Drosophila melanogaster: one gene and its partners. The main gene of each other region encodes a partner of the protein of the gene in region 2 in a complex. Each region holds a gene or a part of one and is shown on either strand. Other genes may lie near its edges. The genes, in order: PCID2, Mgtor, Nup107 and Nup160.

Region 1 (5,776 bases), on a different chromosome or scaffold from region 2:
TGCGGAAGCCGGCGTTCAGCGAAACGGGCTGTGTGGGCGCCGTGGGGCAGATGACTTTCATGAAAGGTGGGCGGATGGCGGCTAGGGCACTGCTCCAGCCATGACTGTTGGAAAAGGCATTCATTAACGAGATAAGAAGGATTTTGCATAACTCTTTCACTCAAAAAAACTTCTATTTACTTAGGTAAGTTTTGTTTGCAGTTTTCTAATAATTTAAAAGGAAGAACGAATTTAAAATGGTATGGGATATACATAATGAGCTTAACTGGGGAATACTCTGAAGGCTTCTCATCAGTTACTTGAATCTAGAACACCCTAAGCGCTTATAAATTGTTTTTTTTTCCCATAGGAACTGAAGCGTTAAAATCCTTTTAATTTCATATGTGCAAATATTTCTGTTTCGCATACTTCAATATTTTGTGAATGAAGTCTTTGGGAGCATTATTTTGAATGAGGATGACCCCACTTACCCCGTATCACCCAGGCCGTGCATGAAGATCAGCTGCAATACACAAGTGATTAGTCGAGGGCTTCCGGAATTTGGACTACGGCGGACTACTCACCGTGGCGGTTTGCTTGACCGTGGCCTCGACAATGACCGGCGCAGCCATGTCTGCTGTTCAGTTTAGCCTCTACTGGGGACGCACTATTCCTATTCCAGGTACTCTGCGATTCGGCGACTTGGCGCTGCTTTCGTCGCTTTTTTCGGTGTCAGCGGATTTCTGCAATGCAGTGAAAAAGAAACACTTTGTAGTTTGCGTTTTAGTTATGTCACGTTGTAAACGCAAAGCAAAATTAGTAATATTGATTTTACGATTGCGAAAATGACAACACGTCGCCGGCTGAGAAATGGTTACTAGCTAACTAGATCTAATCTTCGCCACTTGTCTTATGTACACTTTGCGCGAATGAGGCTCTAATCATTTACCAGGTAATACCACAAGTATTGTGTTAATTTGTTTAAATTCGCTCAACTACGACAATTCATGCAGCTGCGTTCCAAAAAGTTCAGAGATGAGTGATAGTCGGTGGACCTAGAGATGTGACCGAAACCGATTCCGCTGTCGATACATCGGTTCGAGCACAAAAATCGATATATATCAATTCCAAAGTTCGATTAAGTTTAAAAAGTGGTATTAGTTTAAAACCGTTGAAAAATAAACATATTTATAACCAAAAATTATATTATTAGTTCATAAGTTGATTTGAAACATATAGGTTTCGAAAAACCAAACAAAATTATAACCAAATAGAATTGAAGGTACTTTAAATTCAAAGTCTTCAGGTCTTATACTCATCGTTGGTGCCCTCCATTCACATGCCCCATCCAGTAAACTAATACACTGATTAAATTGGATTCTTTTACTCTTAAAAATTCACAATAATTACAAAATGCACTAAAGGGACACTGAGGGGAATGGATTTTGCTTCGACACGACCAGTTTGTTGTGAGCATGTGAGATGTACCCCTTAATCTTTCCATCGTAAATGAGATTGGCCACGATGCAGTGCGTCTCGTCCAGAGAAACATCGGTTAAGCCAACGAAATGCAAGGCGGAGAGGAAGTCACCCATGTCCAACTGATGCGATTTCCGGATGACGAACACCTTCTTGAACAGGTTGCGATACACGAGGAACTTGAGCTTCTCCACCAGCAGATAGATACCACTCCTGATCAGCACCAGCTCCTGGTCCCTGACAATCTCATCAAAGCGATTCACATTGCCAGCCTTCATGGCCATAGCCAGATCGAGAAACAGCAGGAGATCGTAGCGCTGCAGTAAGGATTTGCTGGGCAGATATCCCAGCAGCATCTTCACTGGCACCAAATAGATGAGGATGAGCCTCTTGTTGCTGGCAAACCGATCCGGGCAGTTGCTAAAGGCATACGACAGATACTGTACGGCTGCCTGGTAGTTGGAGTCGAACATAGCCCGTCTACCTACAAAATACTTGTAGGTAATTTGCTCCGGCAGCGGAAAAGAATCCTTGAAGATGCAATTATCGATGGCACGGATAAGGGGCTTGCACAGATGCAACTTGTTGATTCGAAAATAAATCTTGAATAGCTGGTTTACGAGGTTCATCATGCCCAGACGCTTGGTGTCCTCCTCTGAAGCTCGTCCATCAGCGGCACAAACGCGGAAACAGGCCATTATGCAGTCGGCAGCCTTCTCCAATACGTGGCCAGGTGTGAATCCTTGACAATGCTTCTCGCAGGCCTGCGCCAAGTACCTTAGATCCAGGCACACGCGGTACATTAGTGGCAGGCACCAATTCTCGTCCTTCAGCTGCTGCAAAAGCCTCACAACGGCTCCGCAGGCTGCCGACTGTTGGGTGTAGGCTTCCATGTAACCAGGAGGCTCCTGTGCCAGGTGATACAGCACCTTCAGGTGGGCGGACACAACTTCGTCCAGTGGCGGTTTCAGGAATCGATCCACCAACTTTTCCGGCTGGGCAATGTACAAATTGTGGTTCTGAACGTGCACGTCTCGTAAGGAGAGATACGTGGCCAAGGACTCGCCATCTAAATCCTGGGCGGCGTGCAAAACGCCGGATAAATAGTTATTTACGGTGCCGAACATTGTTTGTGTTTTTCGCAGGCGGCAAAATTAGAGATGGTAGGTCAGGCACTATCTGCGAATGCGATGTTTTCATCGGAAACTTCTATCGATTGTCTTTGTTTTTTATAACGCGATAATACAAAGAATATTTTTTCAAAAGTTTTTTTTTTAACATTTTATTTTATTTTATTAAAAAAAGGTATTTATTTACATTATACTCGGTTTATAAAATAAAACTCTGAACGCAGAAAAAGAGTTTTTTGTTTTAAATTTTAAAATTTCCCTCTGCAGCGAATCGATTATATTCCGCGAAGGTCTTTTGCTTGCCCAAAAGATTCTAAATTTAAACAATTTTCGTACATATAGTTGTGATAGCAGAGCTGTCACAAGACATGCTGTTTCTAGCCAGTTTAATAGGCCTTTGAGTATAGTTCACTTAGTAAATTACAAATTAAAGCTTTCCAAAAACGAAGCCAGTGCAACAACATATTTCACAAGGAGCAAAAGGATTCAAACATGTCGACACCGAATTTTCTCTTGAGCAATGGTAAAAATATGCCTATGTTGGGTCTCGGAACTTGGCGGGTAAGTACTTTTACATAGATATATATTGTTATTAAATAATAGCCAGCTGAAATGTGCATTTCCACTGCATATTTCACGGTCAATGTCAAAGCTCTTCGGGGTCAAGCAAAAGCTTTTGATGCACCTCAGCTTTTTACGTTTTATTCGCCATTTTAGAGCCCGCCGGAAGTGGTGACCCAAGCAGTAAAGGATGCTATTGATATAGGCTATCGCCATTTTGACTGCGCTCATATCTATGGCAATGAGGCGCAAGTGGGAGCTGCTCTCCGGGAGAAAATGGACGAGGGAGTGGTCACACGGTAAGTGCTGCTTTCAGGCCTAATCAATCGTTTATCTAAGCCATAAATACATATTGCACTGCAGAGATGAACTCTTCATCACGAGCAAACTTTGGAACACACACCACAAGCCGGATTTGGTGCGCCCGGCATGTGAGACAAGCATAAGGAACTTGGGAGTCAAGTACCTAAACCTCTACCTGATGCACTGGCCCATGGCCTACAAGTCGGGCAGTGACAACCTATATCCCACGTGTCCGGACACCAATAAGGCCGCATTCGAGGACATCGACTATGTGGACACGTGGCGTGCAATGGAGAATCTGGTGGACGAGGGTCTGTGCCAGGCCATCGGTGTGTCTAACTTCAATGAGCAGCAGATGAATAGACTTCTCAGTGTGGCCAAGCTTAAACCGGTAGTTCTTCAAATCGAGTGCCACCCGTACCTTAGTCAGAAGCCATTGATTACGCTGTGCTATGACAATGCCATTGCTGTGACCGCCTACAGCTGCCTGGGATCGGGACATACGCCCTACGAGAAGCCCGGCGCTTATCCACTGCTCCAGCATCCGACCATCTTGGCTATAGCTGAGAAATACGAAAGGACTGCGGCACAGGTGCTCCTACGCTTTCAGACACAATCGGGTATAATTGTCATCCCAAGATCAGTAAGCAAACAGCACATGTTGGACAACTTTAAGCGAATCTGGGACTTTGAGTTGGCCGTCGATGACATACAGGCCATTAACGAATTGGACTGCAATGGGCGTTTTATGACCATGAAGGCGTAGGTGTTGCTCTTTTCATTTCCTAGGTTTTAACTTGAAATATCTCGAATCTTTCTATTTTTCTCCTAGGGCCTATGGACATCCTCATCATCCATTTGAACCCAAAGCCAAAGTAGATAATTAATATTAATTAATATTAGAAGTACAAGTAGTTATTTAAACTGATTGCCTTTAATGTGATAAGTAAGATTGTATGCGGCGATCTGCAGAGTTATACTGATGATGTCCAGGTACTTCCTTTATACTGAGAAGTCTAGCATAATTATTGTTATACAATATAATAATATAATATAATTAAACTGTTTTGCTGTGTGTAAAATCGAATTGTAGCCTTTGAGTTGGTGGGCATTTTAAGCTGTATTTAAAATGTGGCTGTTTATTTTTATATACACATTTATTTTGCTATTTTTCATTTAGGCTTCAATACTAAAACCAAGTAGCCATTGCATTCCATCCGTCAAGAAGTCTCTACACAAATAATTAAAATTTACTGGCGTGCAAAATGAACACTCTAATGAAAATTCAATTGGTTAGGCCTGTTTTTCGCATTACGTTGAGGAATTATGGGAAACCAGAGCGATTTATGTGGTAATATATAGGAAAATCAAATCGAACAAAGCATCAAAAGTATAATTTCCACAAATATTGTAGGTGTCAGAAGGAGTATGCTAGAGCTCCCAAGGTGGTTTGCTTGGACGGAAATGAGATTCCAGTAATTGGGCTCGGAACTTTCAATGTAAATATTATGACAATGTCTGTTTTTTCATATCTATGCCATAGTTTTGATAAATAATCATATTTTTACGAAGATATGGATATAAAAATTTTTACATAGCGATCATAAAGAGCCTATATGGTTGAAGGGCTTTTGAAATTTTATAGCGATCATAACATATGTAAAATGATACATTTTAGTATCATTTATTGAAATCATTAAATGTTTTAATTGATTTAGTTTAATATATATTTTCTTTTATGCTATATAGAGAGTATATCAGCACTCGATATTTAAGCGTAACTGACGATCGCTCAGCTGTTCGGCTTGTCGACTATGCAGCCCTGTCCTCCGAAAGCTTTTTAGAATTTCGAACAAGCTTTTGCGGTGCGTATATAAGCGGTTAACAGCTGAGTGGAATCGCTCAGTTTGTTGAGAGGCGGCAATCGTTAAAAGATTCCCAATTGTATTATAAATATTTATAAATATCCTTAAACAATAAGCGAAAATATAGTACAATGGCTGTACCGAACGTTAAATTCAACAACGGCAAGGAAGTCCCAATCATTGGACTGGGAACCTGGGGCGTAAGTAGAATATCAAGTGATTGCACTACTTTATACATTATACCACTTGCAAATCAATGCAATTGTGTTTGTGAGTTCTGCTTCCCACAATCGGGTAGTTTTCCGCTGCCCACGATTTCCCGTTTTTTGCCCAGCTCTTTTTGCACTGATGCCAGAATACACATAGGGGATAAAAAAGCGTCGCTTTGCTGATAGTTTGCCGGCTGTATTTTGCCGGTCAGTCTGTATGTACATACATATGTACATATTAAATGCTATA
Region 2 (6,889 bases):
GCCCGCAGCAGGTGCGTCCGCCGGGCCAAGGAGCGCGAGCGGGATCGCGTGACCGTCGCCAGGCGTAGCAAGCAAGTGGTCAAGGATCGGGACTCCTCAACGACCACAACGGAGAGCGGTGGTCCGAATGTGGAGCCACCGGACGGCGGTTACGGTTGGTTCATCGTCTTTGGGGCCTTCTCCGTGCAATTCTGGGTGGCCGGACTGGTCAAGTCGTACGGCGTGCTGTATGTGGAGATTATGGAGACATTTCCCAGCTCTACGGCCACCGTGGCCTCCTGGATTCCAGCGATCCTGTCGGCTCTATGTCTGGTCCTGGCCCCGCTGTCCAGTGCTCTTTGCCAGCGATTCTCCTGCCGAACGGTGGTCTTCGTCGGCGGCATTTTCTGCGCCATGGGCATGATACTGAGCTACTTTGCCACCAGTCTGCTGCACCTCCTCCTAACATTTGGCGTACTCACAGGTGCATAATGTATAATCAATTTAAATTTATCCTCATCACATTAGTAATTATATTTATTTAGTTATCATGATGTTTATATTTAACTATTTCTTCACGCCCAGGTATTGGAGGTGGCCTCTCGACTACTCCGGGCATAGTGATAGTGTCCCAATACTTTGACAAGCACCGTGCATTGGCCAATGGAATCTGCGTTTCGGGCACTGCCGCCGGCAGCTTCATCCTACCCGTTCTGATAAAGCACCTCGCGGAGAACTGTGGCTTCCACGGCACTATTCTGATCCTGGGCGGTTGCATGCTTCACGTGTGCGTTTCGGCCACACTTTACCGCCCAATCAGTGCTTACACGGATCAGGACTCGGGCCAGGGACAGGAGGAGACGGCAAAGCCCCTCAACGAAGACATCAATCCGAGCACCACGGGCATTCTGACTACATCCACCTACCTAGACACCTGCGATGTGGGTGCAGGCCACGAGCTGAGCGACAAGTTTATCGAGCATCTGTTCCTGGAGGAGTCCAAGAACCACCTGAACTACTATGCCAGCAAGCAGCCAGGTGGGAGTATTATTTCATCGAGGAAAACTCCAAATAATAAATCCCATTTGGTTACTTAGCCCAGGACAAGTCAGCGCAGGAGAGTGACGACGAGGTAAAGGATATTATTGGCGAGACCACTTTCATCAAGCCCATGAAGAAGGTGCGCAGTTCCGGATTGCTGCACTCCGTCGAAGATCTGAGCACGGACTCCACTTGGGTCTATCGCAAGCACTCCGGCACGGACTCCAATCGCGGAAGTCGTCGTCGGCGCAATGTCTTTGCCAACGACGAGGTGATATCCAAGATACAAGCCCACTTGGAGAAGCCTCTTTCGCCGCCGAGTGTGGTCAGTCGCGGACTCAGCAAGAGCATGGAGATACCCACTCCGGTTAGCAACCTCAGTGATCTCAAGCAGCAGCCGGTGGAGCAGGCGGAGCTCGGCATTCTAGACTCCCAGCTGGTGGAGTCCATTATCGATGGCGACGGCCACCTTGCCGCCGATGAGGATGACGATGACGACGAAGAGCGGGGACCACGCACTTGCTGCGAGCGCATCGAGATGTACCTGGACATCAGTCTGCTGCAGGACCCGAGCTTTATCCTGATGTGCCTATCCGTCACCTTGATGTCCGTCGGCTGTCCCTACATGTTGTACTATCTGCCCGCCCACGTTATTTCAATAGGTATACTATTTAAAATGTTCAAAGTATATTCTTTCGGCGTACGATTTTAAATATTATAAACTTGGTTCATCTTTAGGATACAATAAAAGTGAGGCGGGATACCTGGTGGCCATCAGCGCGGTCCTAGATTTAATTGGGCGCCTTGGACTTGGCTGGCTGTGCGACCTGCAGCTATTCGATCGCAAGAAGACCTACACCTTGTGGTGAGTACCAGATAAGGTTTATTTTTCGATCCAAACTAATCACATTTCCCTATATCGACAGCATTTTGGGCGCCGGATGTGCCGTGCTCACAATTCCCTTCGCCAAGACTCTGGTTTTGGTGGGTCTATCGGCCGCTGTCTACGGACTTTGCCTGGGTAGCTGGTATGTACTTATGCCGGTCCTCCTTGCGGACGTCTTTGGCACGGACAGGATCAGCTCGAGCTACGGGCTGGTGAGGATGTTCCAGAGCATCGGGGCCATATCGGTGCCTCCGCTGGCAGGACTGATGCGAGACCTTTCCGGAGACTACGAGATATGCTTCTACTGCATGGGATCCTGCATGGTGCTCGGGACCACTCCGCTGATTGTGTGGTCCATCCTGGAGGCCCGCAACCATCGGTTGTTTGTTCAGCGCGAGGAGGAGGAGTGCGAGGAGGCCTAGAAATGATTCGGATTCGTTGGTTGCCCCATATGTTAATAGTGTTTTAGTAGCGATCAAATACTAGTTGAGTTCCTGAGTTTCAGAGTTCGAATGCCTCACCGATATTGCTGATTCTACCAGTTACTATTACTACTATCCGTACGTTCTCATCCGTATCTTTGTATCTTAATCAATCCCCATGCCCACCCGCACCCAATCGCTTGTTATCCTTCCGTTGAGCAACAGCAAAAGGATGTGTAAGATGATGATATTCAAACGAAGAAACCAAACAACCTAAACAACCAACAACTGAGCACCAAATGTTGCGCAAAAAGAACTGAGTTTAAAAGACATGAACTACAAATACCCGTATATAACTTTATAATATGATAACTACGATCAATGCCCGACTAGATGGTTATATAGGCCGACTATAGTTGTAGGTTCGCACATCCATATCGGAAAGGACTAAACTTTGTGCAGGAAAAATTAAGTGGCTTTAGACAGAAGGGAGGCTTGAATGGAGAACATCACATTACATTACCCTAGAATTAAAATAGTTGTTGTGAGACATTTACCCATAAAGACAATTACCAAATAAACACGAAATCAAAAGGTTAATCGCGTTTTATGGAATTAAAGGGAATGATTTCGCTTGGTTTGGGTTTTGCATTCGTTTATGTTATTAAATAAAGTCCTTTCTTTTTTTATTCGTAATAAAAACGGATTTTTCAACCACGTTTAAAAAATTTTTTTTATGAATGAATTTATCTCTTTTTAAAGAAAAACATTTTGTTTTATTAGGCTGTGAATAGGCTGTTATAACGCTGTTGAAACAGTGAGAATAATATACTCGAATCGATAGTACCGAAAAATATCGATATTGTTCCATCTCCACTGCATTGACGTTCATTTTTTCGCGTCCCTAAAGCGACTTTGTGCACAATTCGCAAAAAATTAAGACTAAAGTAAAGTAAAAAGTAAGAAAGTAAACTTCGCACCGCTCCATATAAATTTAACCGCTGCTTGACAAGGATCAACTGCGAACATGGATCTCAGTGGTCCACAAACTCTGAACAACATACTTCAGCCCGACGAGTTGAAACTCGTGCCGGAAGACGTCCAGAAGAAATTGTCGGAGTACATCAACAATTTCTCAGATGAGTACTGCAAGAACCGTGCGGCCGCCAATCGGTTGGGTAAGTTTTTATATTTGTATATATACTAAAATGCGCCATATTTTGCAAATAACCCTTTATTTGCATGCGTATGCTTTTACCTCCAACTTTGCGGCGTTTACCGGCTCAGATACCGCTTCTTGTAATAAGCAATCCGCGACTGTATGGTTTCTAGCGTGGTAAACACTCTTGCGCCATTTACATATTTTTTGTATAGAAATTTAAATATAAAATTCCGGGTTGTTGCAATTAAAAACAATGGCTGCTTGCAGCAACATTATTTTCCTTATTAATTTTCACCTCACCGGTGTGGTAACACTGGCCGGACATTTTCCCACCAAAACAGTTGATTAGTCCGAGTTTGAAATCTTCAGGGAATTTCTGTGTATTCATTTTAATCCAAATACTTTGTGGTTACTTAAATCCAGTTAAGAAGATTATTTATTTTTGCCCTTTTCACAGCCGAAGCCGAGCAAAAAAAGGAAGAGCTGGAGAACAAAATGGAGGACTATCTAGTAAAATTTACCAGCTTTGAGTTAAATGTAAACGAGCTGCGCACTCATCTAGATCAGATGTCTTCGGAACGAGTTAACCTAATGGACACGATCGCCAAAGGCGAGCAAACTATATCACAGTTGCGCAAGGAAAAGGCGTCGGTAGTTGAAGAACGCGATTCGATGATGAAGGTAATCGAGCGCCAACAAGCGGAGCTGGAACGATTGAAGCAGGATCTGCACACCTACCAGCAGCAGCTGAGCAGCGCGATTGCTGCCAAGTGCGAAGCCATTGCTCGCGTGGACGAAATTCAAAGTAAGGAAGTGGCTCTGGAGCTCAAAGAGAACCGCATGGAAAGCGAACGCGATATGCTGCACAAGGAGATTTTGTTAATCAGCGGAGATCTGAACAAAAGCAACGCCGAGTTACAGAACATCCGACGGGAGCACACAATAAACACCATGCAGCTACAGTCTTGCCTTAAAGAAAAGACCGAATCGCTAAAGCTGATGCAGGAACAGTACGAACAGGCCGTCAAGACCATCGGGGAACTAACCAGCAAGATTGAAATGCAAAACGACACCGCCTTCAAGCAGAACCAGGCCACGGAAGAGTATGTGGGGAAGCTGAAAAAGGAACTTGATGCCAAAGAGAAGCTTTTTGAAATCTTTAAGAGCACCGAATCCGATCATCTGATCCAACGGGAGGAACTCCTACAGGGCATCTCCGAAATTAAACGTTTGTTAGAGGAGGCCGAAGAGCAGTGCGCCCAGTTGACGGAGCAAATGGAAACCATGAAGCAAAAGCACAGCGCTGAGTTGGACGAGCAAAATAAGAAGATTCAGGCTATGGAACAGGAGCTAGCAAGTGCCAACGATTTGCTAAAACAGGCCCGGGAAAGTAATTTGGAAAGCGCCATATGCCAGTTGGCTCCCAGTGCGGCTGTGGCTAGTCGCCTTATCCGCTCCGATCTATCGCTTACCGAACTTTACTCCATGTACGCCAAAAGCAGCGAAGAACTGGAGATGCGAAACTGCGAAATTGAGCAGTTGAAGTTGCAGCTCAAGTCGATCATTGCTGAGATTTCAGAGAGTGCACCGATTTTGGAAAAACAGAACTCCGATTACCAAAAAATGAAGGAAACTAACAGTGAGCTCCTGCGGGAGCATGATGAATTATTACAAAATAAGCTATGCCTTGAGCGGGAATTGGAAAGGGCCTTATCTACCCTTAATCACAACCAAAATGAGAATAAGAAACTAAAACAGACACACACCGATCTCAGCCGACAGGTGTGCATGTTGCTGGACGAATTGAACTGCATAAGGGCTGGAGTGAAACATGTACGTATCCAACCAACTCGTCAGCTACCCACCAGCGAAAGTTTGATCAGCGATAACTTGGTAACCTTTAGTTCTATTGAAGAGTTGGTGGATAGAAATACATACCTCCTGAATATGTCCCGCGAGCTCACAGAACTTTTGGAGGCTAGCGAAAAGAACCAAGATAAGATGTTGCTGGAGCAGTCTAAGAATCACATAAGAAAACTGGATGCGCGTTTTGCCGAATTGGAGGATTTATTAACGCAAAAGAACAATACGGTTACTACACTACTATCCAAGTGCGACCGCTACAAGAAGTTATATTTCGCGGCTCAGAAGAAGCTCGGTCAAAATACTGTGGATCTGGACGACTCCAATCTGGAGCCTAACGACTCTGCACTGGATACTTCAGAGCAGCCGGCAGCCAATTTTGAGGAGAGCAGGAAACTGGAAAAGAGGGTGCGACAGCTGGAGCAACAGTTGGAAGGGGAGGTCAAGAAGTATGCCTCACTGAAAGAGAACTACGACTATTACACTAGCGAAAAGCGTAAAAACGATGCACTGGCCCAAGAACAGTTCGATTCTATGCGTAAGGAGGTGCGGGAGCTAACCAGCAGTAACTGCAAGCTTATGAACACCACCGAATTCCAGAAAGAGCAAATCGAACTACTTCACAAAAATATAGGCACCTACAAGCAGCAGGTGACTACATTGGAAGAGCGTACCAAGAACTATGAAAAGACCATTATTAAACACGAGCAAACCGTACATTTGCTCAAGGACGAAATGATGGCGGCACACCGCAAGCACGCAGCAGCCGATGCAGAGGCTCAAAGCCTTCGCCAAGAGAACCGCATTCTAAGGGACACATCTTCTAGACTGCAGATCGAAAAGGAGACTTATCACCGCGAGCAGCAGAGCCAATCACTGCTTCTAAACAGTTTGGAATTCATAAAGACCAACCTTGAGCGATCTGAGATGGAGGGTCGCCAGCGTTTAGAGCAGCGTTTAGATGACACTGTACGGGAACTGGCTGCTCAGCGTCGTCACTTCCAGGAGGAGGAGGAGAAGTTCCGTGAATCAATTAACGAGTTTAAGCGACAGGCGGAGACGGCCATCAAGTTGAAAGATGAAGAAAAGCAGCTGGCAGACAAGTGGCAAGCGGAGCTTACCAGCGTTCGCGAAGAACTTGCTGAGAAGGTCAACAAGGTCAATGAATTAAGCAAAAAACTTCAGGAAGTTCTGACGCCCACTCTAAATGACAACCCCATCACTGCAGCTAATAAACGAGCACGAGAGTTCGAACTTAAGCTGGACCAGGCCACGGTGGAGATTGAGTCACTCACTAAAGAGTTGGCAAAGACTCGTGAGCATGGCGAGCAGTTCTACAAGATGTCTCAAAGTGCCGAAAGTGAGATCAAGCGTCTGCACGAGCTTCACGGCGAGTTGGTGGCCAAGCAGGAGGAGGAAATCAAGAAGCTTCGCAGTTCAGAGGCTGAACTGAAGACCCGTATAAGCGATTTGGAAGCGGAGGCCATGTTGTCCAATGTCACCGAGCAGAGCAAGACTGTCAACCAGTCGGGTCAA
Region 3 (7,248 bases), on a different chromosome or scaffold from region 2:
TCCTCCTGACAGCCCACGTCCATGTCGCCGAAGTCCTCGTAGTACATGTCAGAGTCTAGCAGGATCTGTTCCTCCTGCAGCCCGAGAATGGGATAGCCCGGATTGGTGAGAGCGTCCTCTGCTGCCAGCACTTCCGTTTTCACCTCCGCCGGCTCCTCTGGTTCATCTTGTTCCTCCTCCTCATCCGGCGGTTCCTCCGCTTCGTCGGGCTCTTCTTCGTCCTCGCCGGTGGAGTCCATGGCTGGCAACTTGGGCTGCTGCGGTAGCTGCATCTGATGCGGCTGTTGTTGCAGATGCTGCTGCTGTTGTTGTTGCGGATGTTGCTGTTGTTGTTGCGGAGGTTGTTGCTGGTGCTGTTGATGCTGCTGCTGATGGTTCATCTGCTGCAGGACGCACTGAACCCGCTCCACATAGGCTTGCTGCTCCTCTGCACTGCACTTGACGTCTGGAATCGCTCCGCCCGGCGCCGTGTTCATTCCGGACTGCTTCATCGTGTCCAGCAGCGCTGCGTGCTGGCTGTGCACATGGCTGGCCAGTGCAGTGGCATCCGCATGCAACGATCCGCAGACAATGCAAACGAGTGTTTCGTGCGGCTGCTTGGCGACCAGCAGGCCAGGCGACGTGGATGCGGAGGCGGCCGAAGCCATCTGGTGCGCCTGGATGTGCTTGTTGAGGTACGCCTGCTGGCTGTACGACTTGCCGCATATGGGACACGGGTAGGGCTTCTCGCCCGCATGGATCTTCATGTGAACACTCAGACTGGAGGCCTGTGTGAAGCACTTGTCGCATAGCTTGCACTGGAACGGCTTTTCGCCGGTATGGATGCGCATGTGGATGTTCAGGCTACCCGACTGCGTGAACGAGCGGTCGCACAGCGAGCAGGTGAATGGCTTCTCGCCCATGTGGTTCTTCATGTGCTGTACCAGCTCCGAGCTGGCGCGGAAGGCCTCGCGGCAGATGGCGCACTGGTACACCAGCTCCTGCGTATGCATGCGCATGTGCTCGTCGAGCAGCGCCTCCGCCTTGAATTCGCGCTCGCACTCCGGACAGATGAACGTCTCCGTGGGCGCGATGTGCGTCTTCTGGTGCAGCAGCAGCGAGCTGTAGTTGATGAATCCCTTGTCGCACTGCACACACTGATGCGGCTTGCGCACCGAATGCGAGCGCATGTGCACCATCAGGCTGCTGGACTGCGTGAAGGCCTTCGGGCAGAGCTCGCACTTGTACGGCTTCTCGCCGCTGTGGATGCGGATGTGCGTGTTCAGGCTGCCGATGTGCGTGAATGTCTTCTGGCAGATGGAGCACTGGAACGGCTTGTTGGTGATGTGCGAGCGCACGTGCTTGGACAGATCGCCGGCGTTGGGAAAGCTCGCCTCGCAGTGCGTGCACTGGAAGCATTTCTGGTTGCCATTCAACGCTGGATCCATCACGGGTGCACCGATGTTGCTCCGCCTTCCGCGCCGCCGCTTGATGGGCGTCGATTGCAGGCCCAATCCCGGGCTAACAGTGGGTGCCGGTGGTAGTAGCTGCTGCAAGGGCGTGACGCTTACGGTCGGCTGCACCATGAATATGGAGGTGGACTCCCGCGGATCTGTCATCTGCAGCTGGAACTCATTGTAGCCCGGACCGGCAACCAGGCCGTGAAGTGGCTGCACTGACTCCTGGCTCTGCTGGGTATTGGAGTTGCTGGTGGTCGGCACCGAGCTGCTTGATGAGCTCGAGTTGCTGGAACTCGAACTGGAGCTGCTGCTGTCGTCGTCGTCATCGTCATCGTCGTCGTCCGACGACGAGGAGCTGTCGGAGCCCGAGGAGGCGCTCCCATCCGACGAGTCGCTGCCATCCTCCGCCAGCTCGCACACCGGCTCGAATATCCAGCTGTAGTCCTCGCTCTCGTCGCCCGGGCTCTCCTGCTCTTGCTGTCCATTGCCCGGCTCATGGGGGTGCAGGGTGTTCATGTGCTGGTACAGCGCCAGCGGATGGACGAAGAACTCCGCACAGCACATGCAGTGGAAGGTGAGATCCGGCGGCTGTGGCTGCTGCGGTTGCTGCTGGGGTGGATTGGGTGCCTGTTGCGGCAGGAGGTGCGTCTGCTGCAGGATTGGCGTGATCGTCAGGGGCAGGTGGTGGTAGCTCTGTTTCAGCTGCACGGCCATCTTGCCAAAAGGCTGTGCAAATCAAACAACAAAAATCACAAGGAACACAAGCGACGAGCGTGTGAACATTTTCTCTATAATAAAAATGCGCGTTTGCGGGGAGAAAAATCAATGCCGTACCTTGGGTGAGATTAGATGCGAAGTGCCGTGGATCAGGGGTTCCGTAGACTACTATTATATCACTGGTGTGTGCTGTTGCTCAGGTTCCGTGCTTTTGTGTTTCTCTCAGGGCTCTCGTCCACATTCGTCCACTGCGTTCCATTTTATGCGCCGCCAGCGAAATGCGAATAACTTGCTTCCTGTTTTCGGTGCTCGCTTGTTTTTGAATTTGGCTGCTCGGTTCCGTGGGTCGCCGGAATCGCGTACCGTCCTCCGACCCGTTGTCTGGTTAGCTGCGACTGCCAGGAGCTGCGACTCGAGCGAATGCAGCGCATCGCCCAATCGCAATTCTGCAGAGCCAAAATCGCAATTGCAAGCGTCTTCGCCGTGCGTACAACAAATAAAAGAAAAATGTTTTATGTTGGGCGGCCCTTGCACGATTGGACGGCAGCATATCGTCATGCAAGCGTTTCGTGCACGTCGCCAGCATGATGACCGATAAACCGCGCAGCTTCAAATTCAAACCGCAATCGATTGTTACATCTTTCGAAGGTTTTAAACATTTAATAATATTTAATTTAATTTCGAGTGCCTAAATCTAAGCAAGTTTTATTATTAGTGTTTAATTTCACTTAACAAGTTGCTAAAATTATTGAATTGAGCCCTAACATCTTAAATAATATTAATATTAAATATAAACTGCTCATCTCGTTCCCCTTGGATTTTCTTTCTTGCCAAACTACAGGCTAGTCAGACTAACAAGTTGGAAAATCCAGAAAGCAAGCAACGTGGATCGTTCCTTTTCAAGTAAATACGAAAAAGGCTACCAAAATGGAAATGGATTACTATCTGCCAGTGTATAACGGATCAAATTCGGTGGACGTGCCGGGGCTGATTGAAAGTCTCAAGCTGAAGGAAACCAGTATATCGCCAATCGTGCTGGATCGCTATCCGCCGTACTCCCCGTTCTATGGCGTGATGGGCGTCGTATTCTCCAGTGTGCTGACCTCCGCTGGAGCGGCCTACGGAACTGCTGTTTCCGGAACTGGAATCGCCGCCACAGCGGTGATGCGTCCCGAGCTGGTGATGAAGTCCATCATTCCGGTGGTCATGGCGGGCATCATTGCCATATACGGTCTGGTGGTATCCGTGCTCCTATCTGGGGAACTAGCGCCTGCTCCCAAATACTCGCTGCCCACCGGCTATGTACACCTGGCCGCTGGACTTTCGGTGGGATTTGCTGGACTGGCTGCCGGATATGCAGTGGGTGAAGTCGGCGAAGTGGGCGTGCGGCACATTGCCCTGCAGCCACGCCTCTTTATCGGCATGATCCTGATCCTTATTTTCGCCGAGGTGCTCGGTCTCTACGGCCTGATCATTGGGATTTATTTGTACACGGTCAACATTAAGTAGCAGAATTTGTTATATCTAAAATATTTAATTCGTTAAGAAACGTTTTTATCGATCTTTAATATTTGAAATGCCTTTTGAATTTCTTTACGCGATTGTGGTACTCATTTCAGGTACGCCGTTGCGGTACGCGATGGAGGTACCCCATACTAATGATTCTACGGAATGCTGGTACCTTATTCTTTAGCAGCTTTGCCGAATTACTAGATATGTAAACAATTTAAATCAATTTGTTTCTTACGAAATTTGCTTGAATTCAGTGAGAATCGCTTATTTACAAGTGTATGTGCAAGGGAGCTTTCTTGCTGTTCCGTCATCTGGTAACACTGAACGCTCCCGGCATTTTTAGCGAATAGCGCGTGAATTTCTGTTTTGATTAAATTAATTGAATTGATGTGCCGTAGCTGATAGCCAAGAAACGCATAGTGCAGCCATGGCCGACAGCCCGTTCCCGAGGAGCAGCCGCAGTGGCCTGCTACGCACGACGCTGAACAGCTCGATGCCGCCGCAAAATCTCTCCCACTCGCTGCTCATCCTCGAGAAGAGCAACGCGGAGCAGAATGAGCTCTCGCTGATGGAGGACACCGGCGATGATCTGGATCGGGGCAAGAGCCGCATGGACGTGCTCTTCCCGCAGTTCTTCGACGTGCTGCAGGCTCAGGGTAACGGGCAGGAGGCATTCGAGGTGATCCAATCGCTGACGCAAGTCTGTCGCGGCGTGGTGGAGCAGCTGGAGCTGGAGATCGATCACGGCATGGGTGGGGAACAGGGCGCGCGGCAACGCGAGTCTATGCTCACCTGGCTGCGACAGGAGATAAACACGTGGCGCCTGCTGCACGCCCTCTTCTACGACCGCATCCTGCTGCAGACGGACAGGCAGGCGGATGATGAGATGCAAGATGGCCCCACGCTCGGCGGCAGCGAGAAGGAGGTCATACAGCAGTTGTACGCCCTCAATGCGACGCTGCGTGAGTACCAGCTGGTGGTGGACTGGCTGGAGGCGTGCTACGACCGGGGGGAGCAACAAAACCCACTCCACGCCCACGATCGTATGATGGCGTGGGAGAACACGCTCTTCCAACTGGAGAACCTGCAGGGCGCCGCCTTTGGCAAGGGCCATAAGATCGTAACGCGTCTGGATCCAGATGCTCCCGTACGCGAGAAACGACCGTTGCACGCCCTCGACGAGGAGGACAACCTGCGCCTGTCCCGCGCCATTTTCGAATTGATACGAGCGGGACGCGTCGACGATGGCCTCAAGTTGTGCAAGCACTTCGGACAGACGTGGCGGGCGGCGATCCTTGAGGGCTGGCGTCTCCACGAGGATCCCAACTTCGAGCAGAATGTCTCGGTGCTGCACGAAAAGCTGCCCATCGAGGGCAATCCCAGGAGGGATATCTGGAAGCGCTGCGCGTGGATGCTGGCCGATTCCAAGAACTATGACGAGTACAGCCGCGCGACGGCGGGTGTCTTCTCCGGCCACTTGGGCTCGCTGAAAACCCTTTTGCACAGCAACTGGCACGATTTGCTCTGGGCCCATCTGAAGGTGCAGATCGACATCCGTGTGGAATCGGAGATACGCGGCTGCTGCCTCAAAAACTACCAACCGATGCCCGATGATTACTGGAACGGCAGGATGACGATGGAGCAGATCTTCGAGGAACTGAACGTTGCCAAGGATGCGTCGGTGCGGGATTTCGCCCAAAGTCAACTGGGCATTATCCAGCGTCATTTAATCCTGGATACTTGCGGCGAGCTGATCCAACACATGGTGCGCTGGGTGGAGAAGGATACCTCCCAACAATCGCCCCATCAATTGCGCTTTATGGCCCACATAGTGCTCTTCCTGCGTCAAATCGGCCGTGTGGAGCAGGAGCGACAGGCGGAGAAGATCGTAGCCGCATATGTGGAGGCATTGATTGCCAGGGGCGAACCGCAGCTAATAGCCTACTATACTGCATCGCTTTCGAATCCGCTGCAGGTTCAGCTCTACTCGCGGTTTCTGGAGCAAGTGGAGCAGAAGCGTCCGCGGGAGCTAGCTGTGGATGCCGCCCTGCAGGCGGGCTTGGATGTGGAACAGATCACACGCGTCACCGTGCAGAATATTCGCCTCGCACATCAGCCACTCGGGGAATTCGGTGAGCCGCAGTCCGGCGAGATCTCTGCAATCGATCAGCGCAAGATCTCAGCATTGGAGTGGCTAATCCATTTGCCGGAGCAGCGCGGTGAGTTGCTGTGGCAGGCCAACGCCATGATACGCACCTATCTGGCCAGCAGCAAGGTGGAGTGCATGCGCCAGACCTTCCGCATGGTGCCGGCCGACATAGTGCAGCAACTAGTCAGCTTGTACGGCTCGGTGGACAACATACCACCGCGTGAGGAGTGCTGCCTGAAGGAGTATCTCTGCTACAAGGCGTATCTGTCTGGCGTCGACAGTTTCGTCGAATGGAACCGCCTGCAGCAGAACAGGCCCAAGAAGCCACAGACTTCACACGCAGCTTCCTCGCAGGACAACTTCACGGAGCGCATGGCGAGTGAGCGCAAGGAGCAGGCTCACCGATCGGAAGTCGTGCGCTGGGAGCACAAGGTTAAGGAGCAGGCCAAGCGTAAGTGGATCGCATACCCATTAATGAGATCTTTTGGCATATAACCCGCATTCTTTCCCTGCAGAAACCATCGAACTCCTGTACAATGTGCTCATGTTCCCGGACAAGGGTTGGCTGGTGGATCCGTTCATCGCCAAGCTGCCCGAGAACGCCGTGCAGCTGAGCTGGGATCATCGCCTACTGCAGATGGAGAAATTGCGCTCCATCTGCATTCCTGAGATCGCCCTGTTTCTGAACGAAGTGATGTTCAAGTCGGGAGACTTTGCGGGTTGCGTGCGCCTGGCAGATGAAATATCCAGCGAGAATCGGCAGTTGTACAAAGTCTATACGAAGCACAAGCTGGCAGAGCTTCTGGCCAAGATCGCGGACGCCTCCCTGGAGCTGCTCAACTCGAAACTGGATCCATGGGGCTATCCTATAACAACTTAGCAATCCTAGTACATTTGTGTGTTTTGCGATTACATTCTAACTTTAAACGTTTATTATTTATTCACTGTTCAATTATACAACTAAGGAGGGGGACAAATGGGAGGTAGGTAGGATGGAGGGCTTAGGAGTTGTTGTCCACGGCGGCGGCGGAGGCGTTGTTCTCGTCGCACCCGTTGCTATGCTTTAGTAGGTAGGAGGCCAGGAACTGTATGGGATCCGTGGGCCGTTCGCGAGCCAGGGCCTGCATTCCGTGGAGCAGAACCGGCGCCACCGTCTGGTCGAGGTACTGTCGCGTGGGCATGTTGTTTGTCTCGCTACTGGGCTTCTTGGCCACCGCCGGCTGCTGTTGCTGCTGCGCCACTGGATTTGTGGACTGGCCAACGGCAATGGCTCCGGATGGAGGAGCTCCCGGCGCAGCGGTCGGGTTTGCTTGCGCATTGCTGCTTGCATTTGGCTCCTTGCCAGCTTCTGCCGGCGGATTTGTTGTGGGCGCTGGTGAGATGGGTGCGTCGGTCTTGGCCTCCATGGCAATGTGTTCCTTTTGTTCAGCA
Region 4 (9,530 bases), on a different chromosome or scaffold from region 2:
CATTTGGTCTACTCACTGTACTACGTTGCGATTCGAAACGGTATTATGTGCGAAAACGGTTCGCTTGACGACAATCTCCGGGGTGTCAGTCTTGCGTTCAGCATCTATGGATTCGATGGAATTAGCAAGGATTATAAAGCAAGTGAGCTTTACCTACCCAGTTCACAATCATCTAGCGGCGTCTCCTTTTGCAACGCGCACTTTCGCAAATACGTGTTCTTGTAGGCGTCCAGCTTCTTTCCCTTGTACTTGACCGAGGCCCAGCCGCAGCCGCTCTTCTTGTCCGGATTGATGATCCGCTTGCAGTGCATTGCCCAGGCGCTGGGCGTGAGGAATATTGTCTCAGTCTCATGGGATTTGATCTTACCGTCGGCCAGTAGATCGCCAACGAACTTCTGGCCCAGATATTCGATAGTCATTAAGCCCAGGCCCGGCTGCAGGACATTGGCAGCCATCAGCGTTTGCAGTGTGACGGTGCGTCCGGTGCCATTGAAGCCCTCGTAGTTCTCCTTGGTCTAAAGGGTTTGAATAGAAAATATTATACATTTTCAAAAAGCTTAAGGTATCTCGCTCACCTCATCGTCGTTGTCCTCGTCGCCAGCATCGCTATCCACATCCTTGTCGCACATGTTGTCCTCCAGTATGGCTACAGGTGCTGCACCATCCGTGGGCGGTGGCCCAGGGTCCGGAGTGACGTCCACAGCTCCGGTCGTCGCTGGTGCACGCTCCCCCTCCTCCGCTTGCACCCCTTCGCCAACACAATCGTTTGTTATTTGCAGTGGCGGCGGCGGCGGCGGCTGCAGCACCTCCCCCTCCACTTCACCGTCACCATCACAGTCTCCCTCGCCATCGGAACTGCTCAGCACCTGGTTCTCGCCTGACTCGTCCACACCATGTTCCACTCCGTTCTCCATGCGTTCTTGTCGCGAATTCTGTGCAATTCTACGGATATTTTACTTCCAAGATACTTAAGTTTTGCGAAAAAAAACTGATGGATGCAGTAAGGTAGCTGCTTTTTCTACCCAGAATACCGAAACTCATTAAAACCGCCAACCCACGGTCACACTTGCTAGCGGTCCAATTTTAACCGGTAAAAACGGAGGAATGGCGTTGCCATACATAACATGAGAAGCATTGAATCGGTTATTTATTACAGAAACACAAGAAATGTTTTTGTTTTCAAATGTTTATTTATCATAAAAGAGTTCAAGTCTTTTAGGCATTTTCGTAATCATTTATTTTGAAATCCATTAATTTTACTTGTTTTATCGTTGGTTTTAGTCGTGGCACGAAAACAGTGTAAATGTAATAATATTACTTTAAAATTAATTTTAATTGTGATCTGTTAAAGTATTTAATTTTTTAAATCATTCAAGCCGAAATAATCATTTGAAAATATGTGCGTGGCAAATTTAATGAAACCTCTAAACATCGATATCACAGCGTAGAAATCGACAATAATCATCAAAAACATCGAAGCTTGCAGCATTACTAGAAATAGTCAGCGGAAAAGGCGCGCATTAAATTGTTTTGTTAAATTACTTTTACGGTCAGAAAGTAACTTAAAATACATCCAATTACTATCGTATTTTACATGCGTTAACGAAATGGCACTTTGGGTGGATAAATACCGTCCGCGGGAGCTGTCCAAATTGGACTTCCACAAGGTAAATCAGCGAGGAAACCGGCGCATACATCTATATAGCTGGCCCATATATTAAAGTATCTCTTTTTAAAAAGGTTTTTTATTTTATGATTTTTGCTAATTTCGATGCAGGATCAAGCGGAGAACCTACGCAACCTTTGCAAGCAGAGCGATTTTCCTCATCTGATGTTCTACGGACCCTCGGGTGCTGGCAAGAAGACACGCATCATGTGCCTGCTACGGGAGATGTACGGATCCGGCGTTGAGCGGTTGAGGAGCGAGACCATGACATTCACCACGCCATCCAATCGGAAGGTAGAGGTGATGACGGTCAGCAGCAACTACCACTTGGAGGTGAATCCCTCCGACGCTGGCATGTACGACCGCACGGTGGTGATCGATCTCATCAAGCAGGTGGCCCAGACGCATCAAATTGAGATTAGTGGCCAACGGGAATTCAAGGTGATTGTAATTTCGGAGGGCGACGAACTCACCAAGGATGCCCAGCACGCCCTGCGCCGTACGATGGAGAAATATGTGGCCACGTGCCGGATAATCATATCGGTGAACTCCACATCTCGGATCATTCCGGCCATACGGTCGCGTTGCCTGGGCATACGGGTGGCGGCTCCCAACGAAACGGAGATCGTGTCCATCTTGCAGAACACTTGCAAGCGGGAGGGACTCGCACTGCCCGTGGAGCTGGCCAAACGGGTTGTGGACAAGTCGGAGCGCAATCTCAGGCGAGCACTTTTGATGCTGGAGGCCGCCAAGGTGGCCAAGGCGCCGTTTACCGCCAATCAGGAGATTCCCGACCTGGACTGGCAGGTGTTCCTGCGTGAGACAGCATCTCAGATTATCAGTGAGCAAACGCCTGCCAAACTGGAGAAGATCCGCGAACGCCTGTACGAGCTACTCACGCAAGGCGTTCCACCTAATCTCATATTCCGCGGCCTGGTCGAACAGCTGGTTAACAATTGTGATATGTCCATCAAGGCAAAGACGCTCGAGTTCGCCACCGAGTACGAGCACCGGATGCAGTCCGGCGCCAAGCACATTTTTCATCTTGAAGCGTTCGTCGCTCAGTTTATGAACATCTATAAAAAGTTCCTTTCTGAGCTGGACATGACGGATGATTTTTAAACGATTTACACGCTTTAGCATTTAATTCAAAAAACTTATTAAATAAACTGATTTAAACGAACTATTAACGTTCTTCCTGAAGATCCGTTCGCATCTGCAGAACGGCCATGCTCATCTTATCATCGGTGGTGCGCTTTATGGTCTCAATATATCTTTGAACTTCTTCTTCGAGTTTAAAGTAAGCCTAAAATAGGAATAGATTTGGAATATGATTGGAATGTATTTTGAGTAGAACGAAATTTATATGTATGACTTACCATTTCATAATCAAGATCATCCTTGCCATTAATCTTTAAACCGTGCAGCAGCAAATCGATCGTGCTGATGGGGAAGCAGAGCTGTGGGTTTGCTATGTTCACCGCGTGTTTGAATTCGAAATACTCGCTACCTGCTCCCAGCATGCCGGCGATTATTTCACATCCCAGATCTGCGGCTTCCAGCAGACGATTGTGTTTCACAAGTAAGTGGAGCAGTTCCCGGGAGTGGGATAACTTGTAGGAGTTTATCAGCCACTGGGGCAAGAAGGCGTTTAACCCGAGAAGCCTTTGAACCACGCTCTTTCTTATCAAGGTGGAGTCTTTTGCCTCGTTATCCACAACCAGTTTTTGAAGTAAAGTCCAGGCCATATCGGCAGCATTACTTCGATGAGGTAGATCTGTTATAAGACATATAGTAAGCCTCTTTTTTTCATACACGTTAAAAAATCCCTACCTGCCATGTCGTTGTTTTGCAGCCAGTTCCAGGCGTCCGACGACTTGTCCTCAGTGGCAGCAACACAAGCGGATGTCAGACTCTCGAATATGGGGAGCACAGAGAACGAGTGTCCCCGCGAAAGTTTCAATGCCGCGGTGTACAGGCCGGAACTAGCCAGCAGGTATGATAGCTCCTCGGGTGTGGCCCGCTCGTAGGCAGCTGTATCTTTGCGGTAGAAGGAAAGCTCACGTAAAGCTTCTGCGTGCACCAGTTCCCTTCGGATATCAGCCAGCTCTAGAACAACCACCTCCTGGCCTCTCTTGTCCTCGTCACATTTGGGCTCACCATCGTCGTTATCCTGATCTATGGTAATCACCTGCTCATCACCAAGAACAGGCTTGGCAATCCATCTGTAGCGGCTGTCAACTAGGTGCAAACAGTTTAGGCAAATTAACAGCGAGGAGCAACGTTTCTCTAGCGCGTTTGGTGCATCGCTGTCTACTTGAAACCGCATGGCCTGCTCATACATAACCGTAGAAGCTGTTCGGAAACAAATTATTAATGCAAGAAGAAATGGAAGAAAATAAAGTAATTTTTATGCAAACCTTTTCTCATGTTACCCTTGTTCGTATGGAATGCATACAAAAAGTTGTAGACTTCGTTCTGATCGATGCTCATTGATCGTGCCCGGGATTCAACAATGCTCTCGAACTCGTCTTGCAACCCGATGTAGGAGAACTGCATAAGCAGTGGCAGACATTTATTCTGGAACAGCGTTATGACCAACTGGCGAAGGCAATCCTTACGCCTTGAAATATCTGCATTGTTGACTAAGGCGGTGTACGCCTCCACGTAGTGTCCCAACTGCAGATGATTATTGAACACTATTGACTGGAACATGGGCAACTGAGGATCATCTGGCTGCAGCACCCTAATGGCCATGTCAGCCAGTTGAATAATGTAGTCCAATGCGGAATGCTGTTCAAAGAGCTGGATAACCTTAAGATAGTAGTGAACAATTGCCAGTTTTGTGTCTTCGGGGGAAATTGTATCGCCACGGCTGACGCTATTCTGTAATTTGCCGTATAGAGGGGTATTTTTCAGTACATGCTCAAAGAGGAAGTCATCCTCCACAATGCCAGACTCCGCCTCGTGAAAGAGATGCACGGCCTTGTGGGCCTCACCGCAATCCAATAGAGATACGGCTAGCATAAAGCGTCCTGCGGAAAAAAAGGATTAATTTCAAAGCTGGGAAAACTAGCAAATAATGCATACTGGCATGTTTTTGTACGGAACACCAGTTTGACAAAATGCGCACGTAATCCTGAACAATGATGTGATGACAGGTCCCAAATAACCATTCCGGAAATACGTAAATCGGAGATCCCGGCCAACTAAGAGATGTTTGAAACTTAAAACATGATCAATTTTTCTATATATTATACGCACAGCATCTTATTGATGTATCCAACAAGTTGGAGCAAAGACTGGCGTAGATTCAATTGCTCCGAGTCCAGCGACAAACTGTCATGCTTCAGCAGCATAGTCAAGGCGCTGAACAGACCTTTCGATTCCAGGAACAGTCGGAGCAGAGTGGTCTGATCGTTCCCATTATGTTTCAGATGGCTGGAGTATGGTCGATTATAGCCGCTGAAAAGTTGGGCGCGGCTCAATCGTTGAATAGATGCCTCGCTAAAATTAAAATAGAAGTTAGAACTGTGCAATACAATCAATTATATATCCTTACAATCCAGCTGGGGTACTCGATGAAATGGGTGTCTCGGCAATCCAAACCAGTGTATAATATGAGTTCAAATAATTTAAATTTGTTAAAACATTTTCGCTTTCCATTTCGTTCTGACCATAAGCCATGTACTGCAATACCAAAAGGTTTCGGCAAACAGAAAACCTAGGGACACATGATTTAATAAATGATAAACCAAGTTCAAAGTTTTTTAAACTATTACGAAAGCTCACCGTATCATTGCCATTTGCTTCACTGTTTCGGACAAAATAGAAAGTCCATATTCGCTACCCATTAGAGCCCCAGACGACTGCAAGAAGCGCGTAGAAAGGGAGTAATCTATAAAGTAGAAATGAAATATATGAATCATTTTCAAACATTATATATATTTATAAGTAATTTACCATGCGGCGGTTCATCTGGATCAATCATACACAGCACATCGAGCAGCATTTCCAAAGCGGGTTCAAGATTTGGTATATTCTGCAGCTTCTGTTGGATTTGCCTCACACAGTTTGATGGCAATATTGGACCATTATCATCGATCATACTGATTCTAGCCACCAGCTTAGATATTACTTCAACCGGTGACTCCCGCTGGTAAAGCTGTTTATCTAGCTCGATTTTAATGTCCTCCGAAATTAGTTTATCAAGCAGTGTCACCACATTCATGAGCTCCACAAAACCCTTGGCCATTTCGGGATCGTTGCGAAATAGTGGCGCCACATATGTCGCCACTTCATCGTTATGCTCGCCGATGAGCAACAGGTGCTCGAGCACTTCGCAGGGGCGCAGCAATGCGAATGATTGCCTTCTAACCAAACATACTGCATCCATTCCACCAAGAACGGCGAGTCCTGTCGGCTCGGAAAGCTTAATGTGATACTGTTCGCAGCAGGAGTAAAAGCGATCCCACAGCCGAGTGGATATCTCCAAGTACTCCTCATCGGTGACCACAAAGTCTTTCAGTTCGTTTTGGATTTCATCTTCCACGGCCTGGCATACCTGCTCCTTGAGCACTGACATGGAAAGTTGCTTTACATCGAATTGCAGGTTAACGCGTCTGAACATCTACGATACAAAAAATTCAAATTACTAAACTATTCCAATAATTCATAATAAAGAATGTTTTGGTTATACTCACATATAAAGCCTTGGCAATTACATTTCGGTCAAATCGACCAGGATGAAATATATAGCTGCAGTAAGTTTCGCGTGGATCCACTCCCTGCTCCATGGTGAGACAATACCGATCCGGTGGCGGTTCTAGAGCAGCCGAAACCCATTTGATTGCGTTGTTGGAGGCAAAATATGCTGCCGAGACATGGAAATCGCCTTCAGCGTTGCTCCAAAGGGCCCAGATGTGCGAGGATGTGGCATCGAAGTCGACCAAATCCGTTTGCGGCGCCGGCACCATGTTCTGCACCAAATTGATAACGCTGGCATCGTCGGCATCGGGCATTATGCTAACGCATATAAACTCAGCTCGGGAATTGTGCGAGAGAAATAGACAGAAGTTTTGATCGCTTATTTTTCGGAGCTGGCTGTTTTGTGCTGTTAAAAAAAAGAATATAATCCCATTATATCTAGATCATAAATCTAAATCGTAATAATATTTTATACTCACGTCCTTGAGCTGCTGAGTCCTGTCCCAGTTCGGTGGAGCAGTTAATGCTGGCTACAGTCTGCAAGTTATCCACTGACCATAGACGCAGCTCATTATTGCGATACAGAACCAGAATGAAAATTTCCCCCCCGATTTCACTGAAAGCCATGGACGTGGCTGCCTCCAACGTTTCAGAGCGGCCGCTACAATGATTAATGAAACATTAGGGATTTGCCATTTATCGAGGTTTATCCACTTACGTGAGGGCACCCTTGAGATTCGACAGAAACCATGGCATTAGCTTCGGCTCCTTGATTTCGTGGGTGATAGTATGGCCGGTGGAGCATTTCATAACGTGAAGCAGTAGTTTGCTCTGATACGCCACCGCAAAGTAGGCTGACTGGGAGTCTTGAGTGAGGTACGATACAGCCGCGTTGGGCATAGTTCCAAAGCCATCCGTGACATAGTAAGTGCTGGGATCATTGATCTTGTCATTGACGTCGTAGAAAATGGACTGGGATAGCAGATCCTCTGGAGAAGCTGCGCCACCTTCCTGCCCAGCGACCTTCAAGGGAAACACATAGCGATGCACACTGCTGACCGTGACCACCAGCAGGGTGACGGATGTACCTTGCTCCGTGAGTGATACATTCAGCACAGCGGAGTCGGTGAATCGCAGACGCAGGTGATTCCTCTGCAGGGAGATGTCCAAACTAACCTCTGATAGTTCCAGGACATCCTGGTATGTCCGCCTGCAAATCAGTGGCCATGTGAAACTAATTTAACGATTCTGATTTGCACTTACCAATATATGAAACGGTTTCTGGTCTGAACATTTTTCGTATTCTTGTAGCAATAGCCGCCGGAGGTTTCGAAGGTTTTTAAATCCTGCAAAGTGCTCTGGGTTCCTACATTTTGCGGAGGAGCATTTGGTTACTCAGAATTTCTCTGGCAATCTTGCACGAAACTCACCCGTGTTAATTTTCACCTCGATCCACTCCGCCGGACTGAGGTTCCGCGGTATGACCTCGCGGTAGCTCATGTTGGCTTGCAGTTTGGATGTGGGCATCTTGCTAGCACAACAAATTAATATAAAAACCTCAACGAAAACGGAAAATTATTGGCGGCACCGGCGTAAACACGCTCAGTAGTAGTGTTGGAAAACGCTTACGCCAGCGGTGCACACCAGGCAAAATAGTCGACATAGCTTTTTATACTCACATACAAAAGTTAATTACAGAAGTTAGTTAAAAATTGTACATTTTCCTAAATGTAATTTCATGACAATAAAGTTTATTATAGCAAAGCAGGAATGATATAAGATGCCTTTAAATCTTGTGATATTAAGAAAGTTGTCGCTAGCATTTTAACAATTGCCACATATTGGTCACACTGCATTGCACGTGTGTTTCCATTTGTTGATGCGGCTTTATTATTTAGTTTATTTTTTAAAATAAAAACTGTCTCTGGCCTAAAAATGAGTGAACAGCAGGATGAGACTGTAGTCTGCCTGCCCGGGGAGCGACTCTGCAGAACCGAGGACAGCATAGTCCTGGGCATAGGCACCTACGAGCAGAATGGCTACATTTACGCCTCCAAGTCTGGAATTGTCAACATCGAAGATTCGGGTGATAAAGTAAGTAATCCTGGCATTTCGTTGACTCTGGGAACCAATTAATCTCCATTTCAGTGCCAGGTGGTTAGTGTGCATAAGCCCGGATTTCATCTAACCATCCCAGCCACCGGAGACGTGGTCACAGCCAGAGTTCTCGTCACAACTCCAAAATTCGCCAAGTGCGCCATTTTCTGCGTACGAAATGTGCTGCTGGAAAGCAGCTACCGCGGACTTCTGCGCAAGGAGGATGTCCGGGAGACCGAAAAAGATCGCGTCGATATCTACAAGTCCTTCCGGCCGGGCGATGTCATCCTGGCGAGGGTCATTAACCAACTGGAGCAGTCCTTCCTCCTGACCACCGCCGAAAATGAACTCGGCGTGGTCATCGCCTATGCCAGTGATTACCGGAAGACCCGGGTGCCCATGGTGCCGGTCGGCTGGAGCGAGATGCAGTGCCCCCAGACCACGATCAAGGAGCCACGGAAAGTGGCTAAAGTTCTGCCTGAGAGTTCAATAAATGCTGTGAAATAAGGTCAATCGCATGTTAATCAGAAGCTTAAATTCATTTGTGGAACTAAAAATGTTTTAGTAAGTGATTATTAGCCAAATAATTATATGTCTTGGCAACCAGAGGACGCTGAATATGGATACAGGTTTATGTTAGCATTTTATTTCCATAGCAACGTTGATAAGTAGCTATTTGACAGTTTACATTATTTCAAATCATTAAATAAATCTATAATTAAGTTGTAAAAGTTCAAAACAAGCTGGTTTCCATAGTTTAGCTTTTATGATTGATACGTATCTTATATTTGTTATTTATTCATGATTGGTTTGTTATAATGATTCAACAAGAGATTAGAATTTAATATTGGATCGTCATGCAATTGCTGTTTTTAAAAGTATCTCTATAGATTCGAAAGTCATGGGAATAGATTAAAGAAATTGTGCGGTAATTTGTTCTAGCAACTTAACAAAACATATTTTATGTTTAAAATAATTCATAAACACAAGGTAATCTAAATATATGCAGGCACATGCACTTTATAGGTTGGCAACATAAAAACTTTTAGGGTAAACGACA

What was found.
Region 1: Mgtor (region 2) and PCID2 share a complex: the UniProt entries of both Drosophila melanogaster proteins name them as parts of the nuclear pore complex.
Region 3: Mgtor (region 2) and Nup107 share a complex: the UniProt entries of both Drosophila melanogaster proteins name them as parts of the nuclear pore complex.
Region 4: Mgtor (region 2) and Nup160 share a complex: the UniProt entries of both Drosophila melanogaster proteins name them as parts of the nuclear pore complex.

Annotation. Positions count from the first base shown.
Region 1 is NT_037436.4:11,623,289-11,629,064, reverse strand, and holds PCID2 (PCI domain-containing protein 2), read right to left. Parts: upstream 2,625-5,776; 5' UTR 2,586-2,624; coding exon 1,398-2,585; 3' UTR 1,350-1,397; downstream 1-1,349. Other genes in the region: Apt1 (Acyl-protein thioesterase 1), read right to left, coding at 1-104, 471-502, 564-611; CG6083 (uncharacterized protein), read left to right, coding at 3,081-3,149, 3,306-3,448, 3,513-4,214, 4,285-4,339; Akr1B (Aldo-keto reductase 1B), read left to right, coding at 4,718-4,803, 4,867-4,951. UniProt on the Drosophila melanogaster protein: Required for the export of nuclear mRNAs and involved in mRNA trafficking in the cytoplasm.
Region 2 is NT_033778.4:11,849,401-11,856,289, forward strand, and holds the start of Mgtor (megator), read left to right. Parts: upstream 1-3,216; 5' UTR 3,217-3,355; coding exon 3,356-3,506; intron 3,507-3,947; coding exon 3,948-6,889. Other genes in the region: Sln (silnoon), read left to right, coding at 1-463, 565-1,017, 1,077-1,682, 1,759-1,885, 1,947-2,328. UniProt on the Drosophila melanogaster protein: Component of the nuclear pore complex (NPC), a complex required for the trafficking across the nuclear envelope. Functions as a scaffolding element in the nuclear phase of the NPC.
Region 3 is NT_033779.5:10,732,793-10,740,040, reverse strand, and holds Nup107 (nucleoporin 107kD), read left to right. Parts: upstream 1-3,969; 5' UTR 3,970-4,095; coding exon 4,096-6,268; intron 6,269-6,332; coding exon 6,333-6,697; 3' UTR 6,698-6,748; downstream 6,749-7,248. Other genes in the region: CG12299 (uncharacterized protein), read right to left, coding at 1-2,153; Vha16-5 (vacuolar H[+] ATPase 16kD subunit 5), read left to right, coding at 3,084-3,665; Dpy-30L1 (Dpy-30-like 1), read right to left, coding at 6,819-7,223. UniProt on the Drosophila melanogaster protein: Plays a role in nuclear pore complex (NPC) assembly and maintenance. Required for nuclear import of Mad. Mediates the association between the nuclear pore complex and a subset of active chromatin regions adjacent to lamin-associated domains.
Region 4 is NT_033779.5:11,122,249-11,131,778, reverse strand, and holds Nup160 (nucleoporin 160kD), read right to left. Parts: upstream 8,003-9,530; 5' UTR 7,901-8,002; coding exon 7,804-7,900; intron 7,740-7,803; coding exon 7,637-7,739; intron 7,584-7,636; coding exon 7,092-7,583; intron 7,035-7,091; coding exon 6,853-7,034; intron 6,780-6,852; coding exon 6,370-6,779; intron 6,297-6,369; coding exon 5,630-6,296; intron 5,565-5,629; coding exon 5,459-5,564; intron 5,391-5,458; coding exon 5,229-5,390; intron 5,174-5,228; coding exon 4,931-5,173; intron 4,876-4,930; coding exon 4,757-4,875; intron 4,702-4,756; coding exon 4,087-4,701; intron 4,022-4,086; coding exon 3,500-4,021; intron 3,444-3,499; coding exon 3,046-3,443; intron 2,973-3,045; coding exon 2,853-2,972; 3' UTR 2,789-2,852; downstream 1-2,788. Other genes in the region: CG4751 (uncharacterized protein), read right to left, coding at 17-104, 158-515, 576-914; RfC38 (replication factor C 38kD subunit), read left to right, coding at 1,608-1,667, 1,778-2,788; Csl4, read left to right, coding at 8,309-8,467, 8,522-8,977. UniProt on the Drosophila melanogaster protein: Functions as a component of the nuclear pore complex (NPC). Involved in poly(A)+ RNA transport. Required for nuclear import of Mad. May play a role in double strand break DNA repair. Essential for nephrocyte development.